Linked DNA regions of Saccharomyces cerevisiae S288C. The gene in region 1 interacts genetically with each later gene. Each region holds a gene or a part of one and is shown on either strand. Other genes may lie near its edges.

What was found. Genes that interact genetically often act in the same process or in processes that back each other up.
Region 2: mutations in CBC2 (region 1) and HMT1 together harm fitness more than expected from each alone (negative genetic interaction), as found in Saccharomyces cerevisiae (4 studies listed by BioGRID).
Region 3: mutations in CBC2 (region 1) and MUD1 together harm fitness more than expected from each alone (negative genetic interaction), as found in Saccharomyces cerevisiae (4 studies listed by BioGRID, with this or other methods).

Annotation. Positions count from the first base shown.
Region 1 is NC_001148.4:209,839-213,888, forward strand, and holds CBC2 (nuclear cap-binding protein subunit CBC2), read left to right. Parts: upstream 1-2,319; coding exon 2,320-2,946; downstream 2,947-4,050. Other genes in the region: CUP9 (Cup9p), read right to left, coding at 3,204-4,050.
Region 2 is NC_001134.8:303,582-308,229, forward strand, and holds HMT1 (protein-arginine omega-N methyltransferase HMT1), read right to left. Parts: upstream 2,396-4,648; coding exon 1,349-2,395; downstream 1-1,348. Other genes in the region: EDS1 (Eds1p), read left to right, coding at 1-1,122; pyridoxamine-phosphate oxidase PDX3, read right to left, coding at 2,688-3,374. UniProt on the Saccharomyces cerevisiae protein: S-adenosyl-L-methionine-dependent protein-arginine N-methyltransferase that catalyzes both the mono- and asymmetric (type I) dimethylation of the guanidino nitrogens of arginine residues in a variety of RNA-binding proteins such as heterogeneous nuclear ribonucleoproteins (hnRNPs) and small nuclear ribonucleoproteins (snRNPs).
Region 3 is NC_001134.8:476,884-481,671, forward strand, and holds MUD1 (Mud1p), read left to right. Parts: upstream 1-2,454; coding exon 2,455-2,462; intron 2,463-2,551; coding exon 2,552-3,440; downstream 3,441-4,788. Other genes in the region: TEF2 (translation elongation factor EF-1 alpha), read left to right, coding at 788-2,164; CBP6 (Cbp6p), read right to left, coding at 3,552-4,040; GRS1 (glycine--tRNA ligase), read right to left, coding at 4,481-4,788. UniProt on the Saccharomyces cerevisiae protein: Involved in nuclear mRNA splicing. The principal role of the U1A is to help fold or maintain U1 RNA in an active configuration. It is the first snRNP to interact with pre-mRNA.

The DNA.
Region 1 (4,050 bases):
CATTGGTTTTTAGGCCTCTTATCCTTCATTTGGAAACTTTTTGTCCTATGATTTGTTTTTTTCATTTTATTTTTCATTTTATTTTTCATTTTATTTTCATTTAGTTAACATTATTATGCAGTTATTTTTTTTTTTCCCACCTTCATGGCCTCGTTTATGTCTTTTATCAATATATTTTTTACGTTTATAAGTCATTTACTCGACTTTTTTTACCTTTGATATGCAATCATATTATTCTTCCCTCCATTATGGCTAAATAAATGATAATTATAATCTATAGTTTTCAAGCGTTCATATTTTGACAGATAAGATTATGCAACAACTTGGAAGGGCGGAAGGAAGCAAAAAGAAAACTCCGATACGGGGAGTCGAACCCCGGTCTCCACGGTGAAAGCGTGATGTGATAGCCGTTACACTATATCGGACAATAATTGGACAGAAAATTTTGTTAAAGTGTCAGCCTAATCGGCGTAATACGTATATATGTATATTATCTGCATATTATTACGATAATATACAACAAAACGGATTAAAACAATCGGTATATTTCAATTTGATATTTGGGATAAGGTAAAATAAAAACCGAAGATCAGTAAGCTCTTGTTACTTTTTTGTTGGAATAGAGGATCAAGAAGCATTTATTGCTAGTATCCAAATTATTAGTATATCATCATGTTTTCAAAAAAAAATGATGTAAAAATTGAGAAACAGTCACCAGTCATCATGAAAAGTGCACTGCAAGGATTAATAACGTAATAAAACAAGAACGACAGTACATAAACGAAAGAAGAGATAACTATATTATTGTATAGAATTATCGATTCTCTTTTAGAATTCTTTTATTCTCCAGGAAAACTACTTGTACATTCTGTTTAGCTAATATTGTAGCCTTTAACCACAATAAAATGCACTCCAAGTATAACCCAAAATTCATTGTTTTCAAATTTATATTAATGAGATATTGGTAACCTAAACATCAAAAATATTTTTACTCAAATTCTCTTTTCTGAAAACGCTGAAGGAAATGTGCAGGAAAAATGTTTGGCCATCAACTTTTATTCCTAGTACCACAACTAACGTCACATTCTATCGAGGCAAATGCTAATTGGCAACTAACACTATCTTAACGGTTTGATAATGTCAACACAAAATTCACCTATTATTACAAACGAATCTACCGGAAGTTGAAATGCCTGACAATAATCATACAATTGCATGAATAATTGCGAACAGATGGCAGCAAAGGATGAACTAATCATAATTATACATTGCCGCTGTAGGTTTCCTCCCATAAAAATCCAAATTTCCAAGAAAAAGTTCTTGTGTCTTCATACACTTAATATTGTTATCCTTCTTCAAGACCGGACTATATAAAGAAAAAATTTTGTAATGCTATTATATTTCAACTTCAAATTATTTTCTACTAGTAGACATAATGGAACTTCGCTCTCAGATAATCTATGGCGATAGATGGACAATTGACAATCTTCTGAAAGAATTTATATAATAAGATGTGACCATGACCTAAACCTGCTCACGCTCATGAAAGGATACAGGTAATTTGGCGAAACATTCCCAAGCTTCGCTGATAGACCTATCCCAGAAAGTGTCTGTTTAAAACTACAAGTATTTGCAGTTTTCGTTATCCAGTTTCGTTCAAGAGCATTAATGCACAAGCCACTTATATTATATAAATTTAAACTTTGGGAAAATATCATACACCTATTGTACCAGTAAATGTTGGAATAAAAATCAACTATCATCTACTAACTAGTATTTACGTTACTAGTATATTATCATATACGGTGTTAGAAGATGACACAAATGATGAGAAATAGTCATCTAAATTAGTGGAAGCTGAAACGCAAGGATTGATAATGTAATAGGATCAATGAATATTAACATATAAAATGATGATAATAATATTTATAGAATTGTGTAGAATTGCAGATTCCCTTTCATGGATTCCTAAATCCTTGAGGAGAACTTCTAGTATATCTATATACCTAATATTATAGCCTTAATCACAATGGAATCCCAACAATTACATCAAAATCCACATTGTCTACAGTAAAAGTATACCACTAATAGATTTGTAATTGGTGTATGAAGTAGTGTATGGTATAAACGTTAATAAGTGCTTATCAAAGTATTACCCGCTTTAACAGTTTTTGTGTTTTTTTCAAGAAAAATATTATATGTATGAATATAGAACATGAGTTTATATGGAGAAAGTGTCTCGACAGCTTTTAAAGTCCCGAAAGGACTAATATCGAATAAAAGTTGCATCCATTAATATACCAATAAATAAAGGGAAAGATGTCCCTGGAAGAATTTGACGAAGTTAAATATGATCATTCAACTAAACGCCTAGATACACCATCAAGGTACCTGCTGCGCAAGGCTAGAAGAAACCCTAACGGGCTACAAGAACTGCGTGAGTCGATGAAGTCATCCACAATTTATGTAGGAAATCTTTCCTTTTATACATCAGAAGAACAAATTTACGAATTATTCAGTAAATGTGGCACAATAAAAAGAATAATTATGGGTTTGGACCGTTTTAAGTTCACGCCATGTGGCTTCTGTTTTATTATATATAGTTGTCCAGATGAAGCATTGAATGCCTTAAAATATTTGTCCGATACAAAGTTAGACGAAAAGACAATTACCATTGATCTAGATCCTGGTTTTGAAGATGGAAGACAGTTTGGTCGTGGTAAGAGCGGTGGTCAAGTCAGCGATGAATTGAGGTTCGATTTTGATGCATCCAGAGGTGGCTTCGCCATTCCATTTGCAGAGCGTGTCGGCGTACCACATTCCAGATTTGATAACAGTAGCTCACAATCTAATACGAATAATTATATCCCTCCTCCTGATGCAATGGGTACTTTCAGACCAGGTTTCGATGAAGAAAGAGAAGATGATAACTACGTACCTCAGTAGAATCAATCAATTTATATCTGAGAAAGATTCTACACACAGATATATATATATATATATATATTATTGTATATATACATACCTACATTATTTTTAAAGGCTTGCATGATGCTGTTATGTAAAAAAAAAAAAAAAAAATCAGTGTAACATAATAGACGTAACACGTTCAATGACATGATAATACTATATATAGTAACGATAAAATGTAAATGGTAATAGATATAATTATATGAATATTTAAGTAATGCATTGATAAGTGATCAATTCATATCAGGGTTGGATAGCTTTTTCAATTCTTCCAGCCTATCAATTAGTTTTTTACGGCGTGTAACGGGGGCATGAGCAAATCTCTTGGATAATTCATAATCCGTGGAGCAGGTTGACGTAGCATCGTACATAGTATTATTTGTGGCAGATAATGTGTTATGATATGCTGAGACGTTTTGAACTCGTTCCACTGGGGTATTATTCGCGTTGTCATTAGGAATTGAGTTTACCAGGGTATAGTAATCACTAAATATTTTGCGTCTTCTCACATTTATGAACCAATTAGAAAGTTGAATCTTGGTTAGCCCAGTTTTGATTAACAACTCCCTCTTTTCTTGTTGAGTTGGGTAGGGGTTATTCAGGTGGTTCAGCAACCAAGTATTCAGTATCTGCACTGTTTCCTTTGGCAGGTTAGACCTCCTGCCCGAATTTTGCTTCCTCCTTGATTTAGATTCTACAAAATCCGAAAATGGCCTGTTGTATTGTGCCCCCGCATCCTTTTCCTTATTGATTATTTCATATATTGGGGCGGATTTGTAGCAGGGCTTTGCATCATCGGACGCCGATTTTGACTTCTTTGAACTGCCATATTGAGATTGTGTATCCATAGCACTGCTACTCGTCTTGGACGTTTCAACTGTAGAAGCAGTAGGAGTAGCAGTAGTACTAGTACCGCCAGAATTAATTGCGGGATACGCAATCGAATGATGCTGTGGAAGTAACACAGGCGCAGGATAGTTTTGTTCCTCGGTACTAGACCGAAGGTTCCCATGCGAGTATTCTATGTTCGAAAATGCCAACTCGGGCATACTCCGTTTTTCTATGGAGTTAAATAGAACT
Region 2 (4,648 bases), on another chromosome or scaffold:
ATACTGGATTATGCTGTGTTGTTCAAAAGGTTGTACATCCTTTTAAACATTCTGGATACGCTACAAAGCTTTCGGCTAGGTCAACCAAAATTAATTAATCTAAATTTTGGTAGCGCCATTGAAACATATTTTAGCGATAAAACAGGTCATAACCAAGTCGTCGAAAAAGCTCCCGTAGCTTTGGATAACATTCTACGAAACCTTAAACTTGGTGAATTTATAACATATTTTGTCCTTAACAGAAAATCATTGCAAGTAAATGTACCTCACCACTTGCTGTTCACAAATCAAACGGATTACGGAGAGTTCGCTGTTGAAAAAGGGGAACATGATAATATAGCTGGCAAATTTGAGACCCTTTTGAAGAAAAAGGAAATTTTAATCAGAAAATTACTAAATATTGAACAGAAAAATGACCATATTCTAGAAAATTGCTGCAATTCGGATGCTGAAATGAAAAATATCGGAGAGCTAGTCTGCTCAATGATCACTCTGGTATCAGGCATATTAGATTCAATTACTAATATGAACGCAGAAAACTCTGTTGATTTGGATTCAAAGCCCCTTCCGAACGCCTATTTTGCTCAGGACAGTGAAGAAGAATTAATGTCGCCAACACAAAGTATTACGTCAAATCTTGCCAGTGAAGAAAATACACGTTGCACAACCAAAGACTTGATGGGAACTGTTTCTATTTTCATGCTGCCAATGGTGGAAGAATGCTATAATATCATTAGTTTGATAGGACCCATACCTACCACATTAATAAGTTTATACATCCGTAATGGAAATATGGCCAAGGGAATAAATGACAGAATTATGACGTTGTCAACTGCGCTGAACGAATTGGTGCAAATAACCGCACTATTTAATACCCTAGAACCTTTTAGGAAGAATGCACATGACCGTGCTAAGCGTTACTATGTAAGTGCTACAAGTAGTACCGGATGCTACGAATCGGTAATGAAGAGCATGTATTCCGGAAAATGTGCAGCTAGTAACGCCTCAAACGTTGCGCCATCGGAGGAAGAAAACAAAAAGATATTGAAAAAGTTTGCCGACATAGGTTGGAAATTGATGGATGATTCAGAATTGGGTTGTTGCTGTTGCTTCTTTAACTAATATTCATGATAACAAGGTGAAAAATAGCATCCTAATGAAGGATAGATAAGTAGATTTTTTCTTTTAAAAACTATAGTACAAGGACATGCAAAGTCATATATCTAAACTAATTTTGGTACACGACCAACAAAAAAGGGTAACAAAGTACACATATTCGCGTCAATAATATGAACAAGTTTGTTTATTTGCTTTTCAAATTTTTTTCTTTCTCCAGCAAACAAAAGTCTTAATGCATTAAATAAGAACCTTCGTTTTTTCTGCTTCTTGAATTACCGTCGATGCCATTCGATTCGAACTTGTAAGAAATTTTGATATTTAGATCTCTGTTATTCTTCTCGTTTGGAGAGCAAACCAATTCACCTTCAATGGTGTCACCAGTTTCAGCATCTAGATCATCAGGGAAATAAAATATTGTTTGCTTCCAGTGAGTGTATGGAGCATGAGGACCAGTGGAGAACTCAACAGGTCTCTTACCCTTTGGTGCAGGGAAAACAATGTCGAACCAGGTGACTATACCATTAATCATATCTTGTCTCTTGGCCGTCAATTTAAAGTTACTCTTAAACGCTAGATCTGATATTTTTACTGTATTTAAATCAAATTCGATCAATTTGTCTGAGGTGGTGTTGACATTGTTTCTTTCCACGGTGTCGACGATGGGCTCGTGTAAGACCAACGGAACAAATGGCGAATAATCAAACCCGTAAACGTCTTGCCAGTAGTTCAACTTCTCGTCTTTATACTGAGAGTCTTCCAAACCGGCCAAATGAATGGAGCACTTGTCGGGAAAGATCAGACCGCCTTCTACCAAATAGTGGTCTCTAGCGTAAAGAACGGTGTCCATCATGGACTCGTATAGTAGAAAGTAACCCATCCATTCAGAAATTATGATGTCAACTTTAGGAAAGGGTAAATGAACGTCCTCCAACTTGCCTCTTAGCAAGGTGATCTTGTCGCTGAATCCGTTCAACTCTACCAATTCCTTCGCCATCTCAATAATGCTTGACATATCAACACCGATAACATGCTTCGCACCGTGTTTAGCGGCAAACATGGATAAAATACCGGTACCGCAACCGACGTCTAAAACAATCTTGTCCTTAAAAAGATCCTTATTTTGGATAATTGCGTTTCTGTAAGATAAGGTACGAACAGTATCTTGAAGCATCTCTTCGTGAATACCATAGTGATCGTACGAATTGAAGTAGTGCTGTTCGCTTTCACTTAGCTTGGTTTTTTCTGTAGCAGAATCTTTCACGGCTGTCTTGCTCATTATTTTCTTTGGATGAATTTGTCGGTTCTAACTCTTTTTTGGAAACGGCAAGGTGAGCAGTAGGCAGCTCATCTCTTCAACTATTTTTATAACATATAATTTCCCTTTGTGAAAAAATTTTCCCGCCATTTCCAAATTTCGGAATTCCTTTTTCTTTTTTTTCATCTCGGTATATTCTGACATATTACCCTATAGGCGGTATAAAAAGATTCATTATACAGTATAAAATAGAAAATGAGAGAATTATATGGTGTTAAATAGATCCTACATTGAATTTTTCATTAACAGTCCCTCATGGGGCTAGTCTAACGACTTTCCATGGATCGTTTTCTGTTTTTCTTCTGTAAACGAATCTATCATGCAATCTCGAGGGTCTACCTTGCCAGAACTCAATTTCCAGTGGAACGATTCTCAAGCCACCCCAATAATCTGGACATGGGATGTCTTCAGCATCCTTGAAACGTTCGGTGTTTTTTTGGGTCAACTCGTCTAGTTCTTCTCTGTTCTTGATAACATCCGATTGGCGGGAAGCCCATGCACCGATCTTGGATCCACGAGGTCTCGTCTTAAAGTATCTTTCAGAAGTTTCTCTGTTAACATGCTCTGTGATACCTTCAACTCTCACCTGCCTTTGCAGATCCTTCCAAAAGAATACGATTGCCGCATTCGGGTTGGTAGCAATATCATGAGCCTTTCTAGAGGTTCCCCAGTTAGAATAAATAGTAAAACCTCTATGGTCGAGCTCCTTAAAAAGAAGAATCCTGGACGACACCCTCCCACTAGGTAGTTCCGCGGATGAAAAAGTAATTGCTTCTGGCAACGTTTCCCTTGGGTCTTCCTTGGCTTCGTTGAACCATTTGGTGAAAAGATCGATTGGGTCGTCAGTAAGTTGTTTTTCATTCAAAGTAAATTTATCATATTGATACGTCTCAGGAGCAAATATGATTGGCTTTTGGGTCTCCTCAGCTTGTTTAGTCATTTTCAGTGCAGATCCGTGAAGTGTACTACTGGTCTAGGTAGAGTATCTTTAAAATATCTAATCATGCAAATTAGTCATTTCTTCTTTCTTATAAGTTGCGGCCCCTTCTAGTATTTACAATTTACCCGGCGCTGGTTCTGGTGGCATCTATAAGAGCTCTATCTGGCTGCTAAGCAGACTTGCTGTTACTTGTATGTGCTGTTTATCAAGATTGGGGCATTACGCATGTGTATGTGTGAACTACAGTAGTGTTATGAAATACAGCCTGAAAGACGAAAACTTCACAACGGAACTTAAGCGGTTCAATAAACATCTATCTGCCAGCTTAGAGAGACTACCCGTGGTAGAGAAAGACACGGGCAGCCAAAAATACTGGGTGTTGTATATTTACTTGTGTTAGTTTATAAATAAATTTTATATCACTATATGTGTGGTGAAAAGGAAGAGCAATCCTGCTAAAGCTTTTATATCTAAACGCCAAAAAAATAAAAAAAAAAGGAAATGGGAGAAAAGTTTTCAGCGCGCGAACTCGCGAAAAAACTTCCTCTTTAGCAATGGTGACATATAGATCTCAAGGTTCTCAATTAAAAGACCTTCTTTGTAGCTTTTAGTGTGATTTTTCTGGTTTGAGAATAAAACTAGAGAGGAAGATAGGTACCCTATGAAAATGTCAATGGCTGTTGCGTTTGCTTAATCGTATTTTTTTTTTTTTCAGTCCGTGTTTTTTGTACATTCTACGTTTGAGTTTTCCATCATGCAGGCCTCAGAAATTTGGTAGGCACTCGATGGTGAAGAGATAGTGTCGGATTTCGGATTGATCTTTCAGTTGATAGCCTGCTGCTCTTTTCTTTTCCAAAGAATTTCGAGTATGCTGGTGTCAGTGTAGATGCTTGTGTGTGCGCAATTTGTGGTTTTTTATTGTGTTTCTACTTATAGATGGCTAAAATCTGAGTTTAGAAAATGCAAACCGTAAATTCTTAAACACTGCTATTGCATTTAGTTGCTAAAGCAGTGTTTTTGAACTTATTCCTGTTATTCCTTCTTCGTACCGATCCTCTTCTCGACCTAACCTTTTAATTACCATGGGAAGCCTACCATCACCACACCCACACACAAATGTTACAGCTAATTGTTTATTAGCAAAGTTTGCACGAGTTCGCTGTTTATTTTTTTCTCGTTTTCTTATACCTAGTATTTTTTCTGACACTGTTTAAGGTGACAGAAAAAAAGGAGTTTAAGTTAGATTTGCAAACAGACGGTGCTAAGCGCTGTCA
Region 3 (4,788 bases), on another chromosome or scaffold:
CCATTAAGAAGTGACTTGAAAGCAAGCGAAAATAGCTACACATATATATCAATATATTGACCTATAAACCCAAAATGTGAAAGAAATTTGATAGGTCAAGATCAATGTAAACAATTACTTTGTTATGTAGAGTTTTTTTAGCTACCTATATTCCACCATAACATCAATCATGCGGTTGCTGGTGTATTTACCAATAATGTTTAATGTATATATATATATATATATATGGGGCCGTATACTTACATATAGTAGATGTCAAGCGTAGGCGCTTCCCCTGCCGGCTGTGAGGGCGCCATAACCAAGGTATCTATAGACCGCCAATCAGCAAACTACCTCCGTACATTCATGTTGCACCCACACATTTATACACCCAGACCGCGACAAATTACCCATAAGGTTGTTTGTGACGGCGTCGTACAAGAGAACGTGGGAACTTTTTAGGCTCACCAAAAAAGAAAGAAAAAATACGAGTTGCTGACAGAAGCCTCAAGAAAAAAAAAATTCTTCTTCGACTATGCTGGAGGCAGAGATGATCGAGCCGGTAGTTAACTATATATAGCTAAATTGGTTCCATCACCTTCTTTTCTGGTGTCGCTCCTTCTAGTGCTATTTCTGGCTTTTCCTATTTTTTTTTTTCCATTTTTCTTTCTCTCTTTCTAATATATAAATTCTCTTGCATTTTCTATTTTTCTCTCTATCTATTCTACTTGTTTATTCCCTTCAAGGTTTTTTTTTAAGGAGTACTTGTTTTTAGAATATACGGTCAACGAACTATAATTAACTAAACATGGGTAAAGAGAAGTCTCACATTAACGTTGTCGTTATCGGTCATGTCGATTCTGGTAAGTCTACCACTACCGGTCATTTGATTTACAAGTGTGGTGGTATTGACAAGAGAACCATCGAAAAGTTCGAAAAGGAAGCCGCTGAATTAGGTAAGGGTTCTTTCAAGTACGCTTGGGTTTTGGACAAGTTAAAGGCTGAAAGAGAAAGAGGTATCACTATCGATATTGCTTTGTGGAAGTTCGAAACTCCAAAGTACCAAGTTACCGTTATTGATGCTCCAGGTCACAGAGATTTCATCAAGAACATGATTACTGGTACTTCTCAAGCTGACTGTGCTATCTTGATTATTGCTGGTGGTGTCGGTGAATTCGAAGCCGGTATCTCTAAGGATGGTCAAACCAGAGAACACGCTTTGTTGGCTTTCACCTTGGGTGTTAGACAATTGATTGTTGCTGTCAACAAGATGGACTCCGTCAAATGGGACGAATCCAGATTCCAAGAAATTGTCAAGGAAACCTCCAACTTTATCAAGAAGGTTGGTTACAACCCAAAGACTGTTCCATTCGTCCCAATCTCTGGTTGGAACGGTGACAACATGATTGAAGCTACCACCAACGCTCCATGGTACAAGGGTTGGGAAAAGGAAACCAAGGCCGGTGTCGTCAAGGGTAAGACTTTGTTGGAAGCCATTGACGCCATTGAACAACCATCTAGACCAACTGACAAGCCATTGAGATTGCCATTGCAAGATGTTTACAAGATCGGTGGTATTGGTACTGTGCCAGTCGGTAGAGTTGAAACCGGTGTCATCAAGCCAGGTATGGTTGTTACTTTCGCCCCAGCTGGTGTTACCACTGAAGTCAAGTCCGTTGAAATGCATCACGAACAATTGGAACAAGGTGTTCCAGGTGACAACGTTGGTTTCAACGTCAAGAACGTTTCCGTTAAGGAAATCAGAAGAGGTAACGTCTGTGGTGACGCTAAGAACGATCCACCAAAGGGTTGCGCTTCTTTCAACGCTACCGTCATTGTTTTGAACCATCCAGGTCAAATCTCTGCTGGTTACTCTCCAGTTTTGGATTGTCACACTGCTCACATTGCTTGTAGATTCGACGAATTGTTGGAAAAGAACGACAGAAGATCTGGTAAGAAGTTGGAAGACCATCCAAAGTTCTTGAAGTCCGGTGACGCTGCTTTGGTCAAGTTCGTTCCATCTAAGCCAATGTGTGTTGAAGCTTTCAGTGAATACCCACCATTAGGTAGATTCGCTGTCAGAGACATGAGACAAACTGTCGCTGTCGGTGTTATCAAGTCTGTTGACAAGACTGAAAAGGCCGCTAAGGTTACCAAGGCTGCTCAAAAGGCTGCTAAGAAATAAGAGTAATAATTATTGCTTCCATATAATATTTTTATATACCTCTTATTTTTATGTATTAGTTAATTAAGTATTTTTATCTATCTGCTTATCATTTTCTTTTCATATAGGGGGGGTTGGTGTTTTCTTGCCCATCAGATTGATGTCCTCCAACTCGGCACTATTTTACAAAGGGTTTTTTTGTAAGAGAAGGAGAAGACAGATACTAAACCATACGTTACTCGAAACAAAAAAAAAAAAAATGGAAAAAGCTGCTATCAACAAAAGACGGCCTCATCAAACCTAAAGAAACCATGTCAGCGTATGTATATACCTTGTAATTTACGTTTCCTTAAATCTTCTTTCTACTAACGTTTTCATTATTCTATACTCTATGACCAATAAAAACAGACTGTACTTTCAAAATTTACCCAGTAGGCCAGCAAATAAAGAAAATTATACCAGATTACTTCTGAAACACATTAATCCCAACAACAAGTATGCCATTAATCCGTCGCTACCCCTTCCCCACAATAAATTACAAATATCATCACAACCGCTGATGTTACTAGATGATCAAATGGGCCTTCTTGAAGTTTCTATTTCAAGATCATCAAAGATGACTAACCAAGCATTTTTAACGTTTGTCACTCAAGAAGAAGCAGACCGGTTTCTAGAAAAATACACGACAACAGCATTAAAAGTTCAAGGTCGTAAAGTGAGAATGGGAAAGGCTCGAACAAATTCGTTATTGGGTCTTTCAATAGAAATGCAAAAAAAAAAAGGTAATGACGAAACGTACAACCTTGATATAAAGAAGGTGCTTAAAGCAAGGAAACTTAAACGCAAGTTACGTAGTGATGATATATGCGCCAAAAAGTTCAGGCTTAAAAGGCAAATAAGACGCCTGAAGCATAAGCTGAGATCAAGAAAGGTAGAGGAGGCTGAGATTGATAGGATTGTAAAAGAATTTGAAACCCGTAGATTGGAAAACATGAAGTCTCAGCAAGAAAATCTAAAACAATCGCAGAAACCTCTTAAGCGGGCTAAAGTGTCCAATACAATGGAAAATCCACCGAACAAAGTCCTTCTTATACAAAATTTGCCAAGCGGCACTACCGAGCAATTATTGTCGCAAATACTTGGCAATGAGGCTTTAGTTGAAATCAGATTAGTTAGCGTTCGTAACCTAGCTTTCGTGGAATACGAGACCGTTGCTGATGCTACGAAAATCAAGAATCAGTTAGGCTCCACTTACAAGCTACAAAACAATGACGTTACCATAGGATTTGCTAAGTAGAATTTCCTTTGCGGAAGTATACCTCGAGTAAAGAAATTCACAGATAAATTTGAATAACGTTCTCCATTATGAATAAATATGTATTTACAAGCTTAGAAAATAATGTGCTCTTTATTTACCAAATAATACAGTTCTCATTGCAGTAAATAAGCTTTCCTTTTTCTTACCGTCAACGGCATTTATTAACCGTTGATAATATTGGGGATTTCCTGCAGGTTTATAGAGCTTATCGCCAATATCGTAATAGTTTCTGAATTTATTATTCATTATAGTGCTCAAGGCACGAATTTGCTCGTTGATGCTTTCTTCCGTGAATTTCTCATCTACCATTTTATTTTGAATTTTGGTTAACATCTCCTTATTCAGTCCTAATGGACCGGAAGTTCTGTTAATTATACTTTTTATTTCATCTAATGAGGGTTTTTTCTCTTTTATAGATTTTCCTTTGTCATCTACATTTGGCAGACCCGCTACACGTCTAAATCTTGCTATTTGTACATCCCTGAATGAGACCAAGTGGTGTATACGATCCTTTGGATATTTTTCCAGTAAATTAACTAATTTTTTGGCAGAATCCCTGACGACCTGGGAAGAAGACATTTTGGCACTTGCTTGTGGAATACGGAGTTTAACTTGGTAAGCTGATAGAGAGAATGTTTCAATGAAGGCTACCTTTTTTTCTTATAATGTTGCTACCACAGGAAATCTTGATATACGTTAATGTTTTGGCCCCTACAAGGCCGGAAATATTTCGCTTTTTCTTGATATCAGAATTTTTCGCATGTCCGACCATGCGCAGAGCTGCTATGAAAGTACTTTAACTATTAGTGTGAGGAATGGCTAAATAAACAGCAGATGTGATTTCCGCACTTCTTTTATAAACTTCCAAAATAATCGTATTAGTGGACAGTACATAATCATATCTTGCAATACGTATCAATAGTAAACGAATTATTTATTCATACACACATGTATATACTTCTCGCTTCTTTTTTTAATTTACATGTTTGGCGATATATAGTTAAAATTAAGTCATTTATTTAGTCAGTTTCAGCTTCAGCTTCAGCTTGGGCAATAAAAGGAGTCAAATCCTTGGTACCTTCTTCCCAAGAAGCACCATTGTAAGTGATATCGCGGATAGCCTTGATGACATTTTCGACGGAACCTCTAACTTGCTTGGTGGAATCTCTTTCTCTCAAAGTGACAGAATGGTCTTTGGCAGATTCAAAGTCAATGGTGACACCGAATGGAGTACCTAATTCGTCATTACGGGCATATCTTTTACCAATGGAAACTCCAGAATCATCAATCTTAAATGGGATTTGAGACTTTCTTAAGATTTTGGCGA